Rattus norvegicus: one gene and its partner. The main gene of each other region encodes a partner of the protein of the gene in region 2 in a complex. Links are inferred from orthologs where the notes say so. Each region holds a gene or a part of one and is shown on either strand. Other genes may lie near its edges.

Region 1 (3,995 bases), on a different chromosome or scaffold from region 2:
TGTTTGTCCCAGGCTGGCTTTGAACTTGAGATCCTCCTGCATTTTCTTCCCAGGTGCTAGGATTACAGGCGGACAATGCCTCACCAATATCTTTTCTTTTTCATTTCCTTCCTTCTTTCCTTCCTTCCTTCCTTCCTTCCTTCCTTCCTTCCTTCCTCCTACCTTCCTCCCTCCCTTCCTCCCTCTCTCCTTTCCTCTTTCTTTCTTTCTTTCTTTCTTTCTTTCTTTCTTTCTTTCTTTCTTTCTTTCTTTCTTCCTTCCTCTTTCTTTCTTTCTTTCTTTCTTTCTTTCTTTCTTTCTTTCTTTCTTTCTTTCTTCCTTTCTCTCTCTCTTTCTCTCTCTCTTTCTTTCTTTCTTTCTTTCTTTCTTTCTTTCTTTCTTTCTTTCTTTCTTTCTTCCTTTCTTTCCTTCTTTCTGAAACAGGGCCTCTTTGTGTAGCCCTAGCTGTCCTGGAATTTAATGAACCATATCACATCTCCCCAGCCCTTTTAAAAATACTGAGCCCCTCACCCTGTTATTACTGTGTATTCTCGTTAGTCTTGACCTCACTCTAAAACAGGCTGAGCTCCTACTCACAGCAATCTTCCTTCCTCAGCCTCCTAAGTGCTGGCATTACAAGAGCACCACAACCCATTTGTATTTACTTAAATTCTTATTTCTTCTGAATTTTACTGGCAAGTTTGATATGTTTACTTTTCAAGAAGAACCCCCACCCTTTTTATTTATTTGCTTATTTGATTTTCAGATCTTTTAAGACAGAGCCATCATTATATAGCTTTAGCTGATCTAGAACTCACTATGCCAAGCTGGCCTTGAACTTACAGTGGTCCTTATGTCCTGGACTCCCACCTGACTGGGATTTTCAGGCATTTGACACTACCCCTGACTCATAGCATTTTATTATGTTAAAAAATCCAGTAAATATTTAACTTAGGGTCACATCAGTCACGCTTAAGAGGAAGCTGCCATCTTTACCCTATGGAGTCTCTCCAAGGTGTGCACTTTAAGTGAACTGTGTCAGAACTGGGCTGAAGTCCCGGACACCTGGCTGCTCTCTGCCAGAGAGTTGCTTGGTATGAATACCCACCCGTAGCTGGCGTTAGGAGTGTTTTGTGTTGAAGCTGGGCTTGGTGGTGCACACATGCAATCCCAGCACGTGAGAGGTGAAGGCAGGAGGATCAGGACCTCAAGGTCCTTCTCAGCTATCCAGAGGGCTTAAGGCCAGCTTAGACCACGTGAGACCCCGCCTCAGGAAACAACCAAACCAGAGTGATCTGTGGTGACACCAGGTATGGAAGCACATGACTGTAATTCCACATCATTGCAAAAGCAGCTTTCAAAGGGAATAAGAAATAGTTTATTCAGAGCCAATTATGAGTAACCATGGCTAGAACTAGGAATGGGGTTGCCTGGAATGACACATTAGAAAGTGGAAGTAGTAGGGTTGGGGATTTGGCTCAGAGGTAGAGCGCTTGCCTAGGAAGCGCAAGGCCCTGGGTTCGGTCCCCAGCTCCGAAAAAAAGAATCAAAAAAAAAAAAACAAAACATTTGAAATAGCCCAGGCAGGCCTTGAACGCTGGATTCTCAGCCTTGGATGGCTGAGATTACTGTCATGCACAACCAGGCTGGCTCATTTCTAATAGTTTTTTTTTTTTTTTTTTTTTTGAGGGGGCAGGGTGCAGGCAGGGAGGAAAGACACAGAACAGTAGATGGGAATTGAATCGCTGATTTAGAAAACCTGGGTTTGAGCTGGAACGATGGCTTAATGGTTAAGAGCACTGACTGCCCTTCCAGAGGACCAGGATTTAATTCCATTGCTCCATGATGGCTCACCTTTGTCTATGCTCCAGTTGAGGGGATCCACATCCTCTTTTGGCCTCAACAGGCACAGGCACGCACATGGTGCAAAATACCCTCATATATAAAATAAAAAATAAAATAAAATGAAAGAGAGAGAGAGAGAGAGAGAGAGAGAGAGAGAGAGCGAGCGAGCGAGCGCGAGCGAGCGAGCAGTGTACTGGATTCAAATACAGGTTCCGGCTGTTCATTTGTGCTTGGCACCAGTATCTGATTTTTCTGAGGTTTAAGTTTCTCATTTGTTAGGCAGACTTGTCACACCTTTCTTGTTCAATTAGTGATGTATTTATTTAACCCGTACTTATTGAAGACTACTCTGTCTTTTCCTGTTTTGATGAACAAACTTCAGCTGTGTACTTGACACTGAATGTACGGTGTCGAACAACATAGACAAGGTCCTTGTGCTACCATGGAGGCTGTCATCCTAGTAGAGCATGAGGATCAAATGAAATAAATAAATAATATAGGATCACCACGCCTGGAATCAAGGACCTAAGACTGCTTGCCTCTCTCCCCCTTGGCTGCACTCTTTCCTTCAGCTGGTAGTGGAAGTGTTGTCCAATGACTGAGCTTATGCTGCTGCTATAAAACCACACTAGGAATTTGCTTCCTGTCATCTAGAGATCTGTTTGGCAGATCTTTGCCTTTCTCCAAATGTTGACTCAAAGGTTGAGCATGGGGGCTGGAGAGATGGCTCAGTGAGTATGCACACTGCCCTTGCAAAGGACCCAGGTTCAATTCCCAGCACCCATGTGGCAGCTTACAACCATCCGTAATTCCTGTTCAGATATTCTCTTCTGACCTCTGTGAGCACCAGGCATGTGTATGGTATACGTACATTCCACGTGTTGGCAAAGCGCCCATATGTATAAAATCAAATGAATAAACCTAAAAACCAAAACACCCCCTTACACCCCCAAATATCTCCCAGCACTGAGAATCAAGCTCCATTTGAGGCATCCTTCAATCTGACATCCACCAGTTGTTCAACAGTGGCATTTATGTTGTAATTGTTTATCTGGCAACAAATCCTTTCATCATGAAGGCCGGCTTACAGAACCTATTGGTTTCATAGCCATGACACTCTTTGTCAAGAGGACCCTAGAAAGCCAGATAACCTGGTATTTTTGCGATTCCCCTGACCTAATGGGTGGTGACTACATTGAGAAGACATTAGAGTGACGCGAATGGCCAGCAGGGGCAGTAGTGGAGGAGGAAGGTAGTTTACAATCAGCCAGAGTGTCTGCTCATGTCCCTTGGATATAGGACTTCCAGGCAGTGCAGTCCTGGAACCTTATCCTTCAGACCAGGATTAGCCGTTGGCGCTGTCTGAGGGAAGGCACCTGTACTTCCCTTTCTCCCTGCCCCGAGAGCCCTAACCTTTCCCTTTTACATCTTCTTAGGATGTGGGTTCTCTAGACGAAAAGATGAAGAGCTTGGACGTGAATCAGGATTCGGAGCTGAAGTTCAATGAGTACTGGAGACTGATTGGGGAACTGGCAAAGGAAATCAGGAAGGAGAAGGTCCTGGCGATTCGCAAGAAGTAAAGTCTGCTGTCGGGATGGGGGCCAGCAGGGCCTGCTGGGCAGGGCCAGGCAGCACTCCATTCCCCCAATAAAGCTTCCTTCCTGAAACAGAGATGCTTATTTTTATGTACCACTCTGATTTCTTTTCTTGAGACTGGGAGATGGGAATGTTCCATTTTTACCTGAGATGGAAACATGGAAATCATGGGTACTTTGAAGACAAGGAGTGGGGTTCCTCTTCAAATATCCTACAGCATCTAGAACTATGCGATTTTTTTAAAGATTTAATTTAATTAATTTTTATTTTTGTTTTTGTTCCTCTGTTGTTGAGGACAGAACTCAGGTCCTTGAGTGTGTGTGGCATAGTAAAATCTTGCACTAAGTAGGTGCTCAATAAATACATAGTTGATGAGCAAAAAAAGTACAGAGATTTGAGGCAGGCAAGGCAGCTTTTGGGACTCACCTCCACGTCTCTAGTTCTCAGTTTCTTCTATATAACTGCTAGAGTTTGCCCTTTGGTTTGTAATAATGAACATCACTAAACGTTTTAACTGTATTACCCTAGTCAACTGTCACAGCTGTTAAGGTTAATTAATTCAATTGATTTTTGCA
Region 2 (4,086 bases):
AGTGCTTAAAATATTTTAGAAAATACATTTGGCCCTCTGTTTTGCCTGCCTGCATTCTCAAATTCAACCAGCCTTAAGAGTCAAAATATTTTCTAGAAATAAATGACATCTGTACTGCACATGTGCATTTTTTATTTCCTAAATAATCTAACCATTGCTTCATAAGCATAAGAATTGTTTCCACAGCGTCTGCATTGTGGCAGGTCTGGTTAGGACACTTGGATATGATTTAAAGTCACTTGAGAATGCATGCATACATACTTTATACAAATAGAGGGTCATTTAATATATGGGACTTGAGCATCTGAAGAAGGTGGTCTCCCTTGATTCTAAGCTCCCATGGATGCCTTTGGTATAACTGTTCTTCTGAAAGCAGCTTTTAAAGCTAGTATCACAGACACACAAAATGATATGACCTGGTGTGTGTGTGTGTGTGTGTGTGTGTGTGTGTGTGTGTGTGTGTCTGTGTGTGTAACATTTAATTTCTCCTGGCTAGCCTCCTTTACCTCAGCTCTGTGGGCTATCTGGTTGTCTCTAGCCTTAGGTCTGTTAAGAGACAGACCCAGGTGAGTTGGACTGAAACAACTGGCTAGGGAGAACAAAGTTAATATTTTGAAGGAGCCTGGCCCAGCTCTTAGGGGTTCAGATAGATCTCTATTCCGGAAAAGCAAATGAGTAGGAAGAATGTCAGTTAACTACTGGCATGAAGAGGCAAGTGTCTCATTTATGACAGGGAAACACAAGTGTATACTACTCAATGCTCATTGTGCTTCTCTGGTAGAGGATCTAGAGTGAAAGAAAAGGAAGAAAAAGAGAGCCCAGATCTATAAGAATGCTAATTATGTACTTACCTGATTCAGAGACAGATGGTCAATGGCAGAACTGTATTCTTCATTTTCACTGTCAAAAAAGAATATGAGACTATATTTTGTCCATTATTTTACTGTGGTCAGTGAGTATCATATCTAACTTAACACATTAACTTTGGGTAACACAGACAACATTCCTAAAAACTGATTTAGGCACAGGCACCATTGAATTCAAACGCTCTAACACAGTAATGACTTTTAGTGGATGTCTAAGAGCTAATCCATCCTTAGGAGAACTTGAGTCCTGTTAGGATGAGAGTAAGCTCCACAGTAACTGAGTACATGAACACACACACACACACACACACACACACACACACACACACACACACACACGATCATTACTCTTGGAAAAGTTAAAGACTTCTGTACATTCATGTCTACTATACACATAGTAATTTATTTGTCACTAATTTGAAATTAGTAATTATTAGAACAGCTTTGTGCTTTATAAAAAATCAGGCATGACTAATGAACCAGAGTCTTAACAGAACCTCAGGGAAGACTTAAGGTCTTTAAAAGAAAAGGGTTTGATGCATCACAGGCGTACTTTGTCATACGCTACTTACTTTCATGTCTTCACCAAAACATTTACTGTTTAACATTTTGTAGCTTTATTAGCATTAGCATTAATTGTAAACAACAAGAACATCATATTAGTTAAGAATGTTCTAGAATTTCAACTCTCTGCTCTTTTGTCTTTTGTATCAGGGTAAGGTTTGACGATGAGTGTGAATCCATGTGCCCGAGAGCCGTTACCTCCTTTGACTGGGAACAGGTTCTCTTGAGAATGGATTCTCTCTCAAATAGCTCATTAAAACCCACTGCTGACTCTTTAGAGTGCCTACGTTGATGTTGATATAAAATTATGTCAGATTCAGTATACCTCAAAAATAATTTTCTACAATTTCCGTTTTTTCCTGCCAATGAAATATCCTTTTAGTATGACGGATGCCTGGTCTTTCTAGGTCTTCTCTGTCCTCAGGACTTCAGGGTCAATGTATATCTCCATAGCCTCTGCCAGCCTGTCCCCTGACTGGTCACATTAACTCTTAGTTAATTCGGATTCAAAAGAGTCTTGTGCCCTTCATTGAATCAAAAAAGGAAGACTCCGTTTCTTACCTATAGCAGTTCTTTAGGTCTTCAAACAAGTCAGGAACTTTGGCCATCTTGATTTCTGCAAGAGAACACCAGTGGCTGTCAGCTCAGTCCACCTCTAAACCCTGTGCTTGCAAGGGCAATGACCCTGCTTTGCTCTTCTTGAGAAACTACAGTAGTGACTTATCACATGTTCAGCATTTCCTCTATTCTCCTTCATCCTCCCTTACATTATTTCTGTATGCTTTTATCTTTTCCACTAGCTTGTTTTCAAGAATGTTTTCTCTAACTTGGTATTCTTTGTGTCCAGTCTATCGCCTCACACATAGTAGGCACTTAGTAAAAGTTGAACAGAATAAGGAAAAAAATTAAAATCACCTGAGTGAGGTGTCTGCCTTATATAGAGGCAAGGGAGACACAGAGTGGGAACCTGCTGGTCTCTTTCATTTTTGTCAGGAGAGATGTCCGATCTCCAGAAAATGGTTCAGCTTTGCTGATAGACTCGCTCACGTGAATCTTGTTCAGCTGCTCCCTAAGTTCTCTATCACTAGAAAGAGAATTCTTTTCTGAGCCTCTCACTCCAGCCCCTGCTCTAAATCAGACAAGAGAAGATGAAGAGGAAGAGGAGGAGGAGGAGGAGGAGGAGGAGGAGGAGGAGGAGGAGGAGGAGGGAGGAGAGAAGAAGAGACCATTTTCCTTACGAAAGATGTCTTGAGAGAGGACAGTCGAGGAGCAAACAAAAGACAATTCTCATAGCCTCAGATGGGATAAGGACAATACCTTTGCCGACTCAAGCGCCAATGAGTTGACTCCCTCTGTGCCCTGGAGACTTTAAGTCTGAGTCAGGCTTCTCTCTGTCTTTATAGTCTTCCTCAAGTAGTAGGTGTGGTCATGAGTGTGTGTCATTGGGAATTTACAGGAAACAATTCTGCTTCGTATCTTTCTGTGTTCATTCTTCTTGATACGGGCTAGAAGGACAGATTATACACTGGTAATAATGTTGCTTGCAAAGACTCTGCGGGCTGTTGGCTTGATCTGCCTATTTCTCGCTTGCTCCATGTGACTATAAACATGTAGTCTTACAAAAAGGGAAGAGTGGCAGGAAGCTCACCAATGGAAGAGGAAAGGAGACATCCTCAAATCGGAGCGGGAGTCGGACTAGGACAGGTGCTCCATAGTTGTACTTTGTGTTTTGGTCTAATTTGTTTATTGTGCCCCAGGACTGAATACAGATGGGAGGGATAATTGGCAGCTAAGGCAGGGCATTTGAGGGAAAAATGAGCTCCCCACCCCTCTTTGAAGGGTAAAATTTGCTTGAATAAGTCAGCAGTCCACGTATAAAACAATGGCCTTCTGGTTAAAGGTAAAGGAGGTAAAAGTGACACTGAACATAAAGACCTGGGCCCTCTTACTCCTTTAAACAGTATTAACGCACTTCCTACAGAGACGACAGCTTCAGAGGAGAGTTGTCAGCCCCAGCCACATCATGGTAAAGTAGCTCTGTCCCACTACCTAGTGTCCTTCAGGATAGTTCAGGAGAGAGGATAAGCTGCCCACTTTTGGAGGCAGGGACAAAGTCCCAGCCAGGGGAGTGCCTCAGCCCAGGAGTGGGGGTTGTGGGAGAGGAAGGTATGGATTCTTACACAGATCAGCATTGCCTTTTTATTAGAAACAGTTTCAGTTCCTAGACGCCAGGCCAGTCTAAGAGATAGACTCTCAGCAAAGCAGTGTTTCAGCTTTTCTACTTGGCATTTAAGCCGTGTAACTTTTAAATAAAGGAAGTGGGTGGTAGACAAGGAAAGAAAAAAGTGGCAAAGAGAGAAAAGCAAACCACTGAAACATGGAATAAAAATCAAACCAAACCAAACACAAAACTGTGAGGCTAGGAGTAAAGCAGCTTACGTGAGTTGGATGAACCACGCCCTCTGGCCCTTTTAAATCACAGAGTGGAGCTGTTTAGATGTTCTTTGGTTCTATTGCATATGTAAACTCTCCAGTTCCAATGTGGCTGTCCAGTCTGTCCCTCCTCTTGTTATATTTATAAACAAAATTCAAAGATGAGTGGTATCCTACGTAAGGGAAGGAAGGACAAGCACAGAAGTAGACTGGAGCCAAAGCT

Evidence for each region. The genes of interacting proteins can lie anywhere in the genome.
Region 1: the proteins of Il1a (region 2) and S100a13 are in contact, whole or in part, in an NMR structure (PDB 2L5X), measured with the Homo sapiens proteins. The link is inferred for Rattus norvegicus from reciprocal best matches to the Homo sapiens genes IL1A and S100A13. Residues at the interface, in NP_000566.3 of Homo sapiens: Asn148, Gln150, Tyr151, Thr194, Ala195, Gln196, Asp197, Leu203, Leu204, Lys205, Glu206, Met207, Gly216, Ser217, Glu218, Thr219, Asn220, His239; in NP_001019381.1 of Homo sapiens: Met1, Arg25, Gln26, Glu27, Gly28, Arg29, Lys30, Asp31, Ser34, Asp68, Ser69, Glu70, Lys72, Phe73.

The regions. Positions count from the first base shown.
Region 1 is NC_086020.1:178,300,020-178,304,014, forward strand, and holds the end of S100a13 (protein S100-A13), read left to right. Parts: intron 1-3,260; coding exon 3,261-3,404; 3' UTR 3,405-3,495; downstream 3,496-3,995. UniProt on the Homo sapiens protein: Plays a role in the export of proteins that lack a signal peptide and are secreted by an alternative pathway. Binds two calcium ions per subunit. Binds one copper ion. Binding of one copper ion does not interfere with calcium binding.
Region 2 is NC_086021.1:136,987,218-136,991,303, forward strand, and holds the start of Il1a (interleukin-1 alpha), read right to left. Parts: upstream 2,801-4,086; 5' UTR 2,748-2,800; intron 2,715-2,747; exon of another isoform or gene 2,346-2,714; intron 2,047-2,345; 5' UTR 2,039-2,046; coding exon 1,992-2,038; intron 901-1,991; coding exon 852-900; intron 1-851. UniProt on the Homo sapiens protein: Cytokine constitutively present intracellularly in nearly all resting non-hematopoietic cells that plays an important role in inflammation and bridges the innate and adaptive immune systems.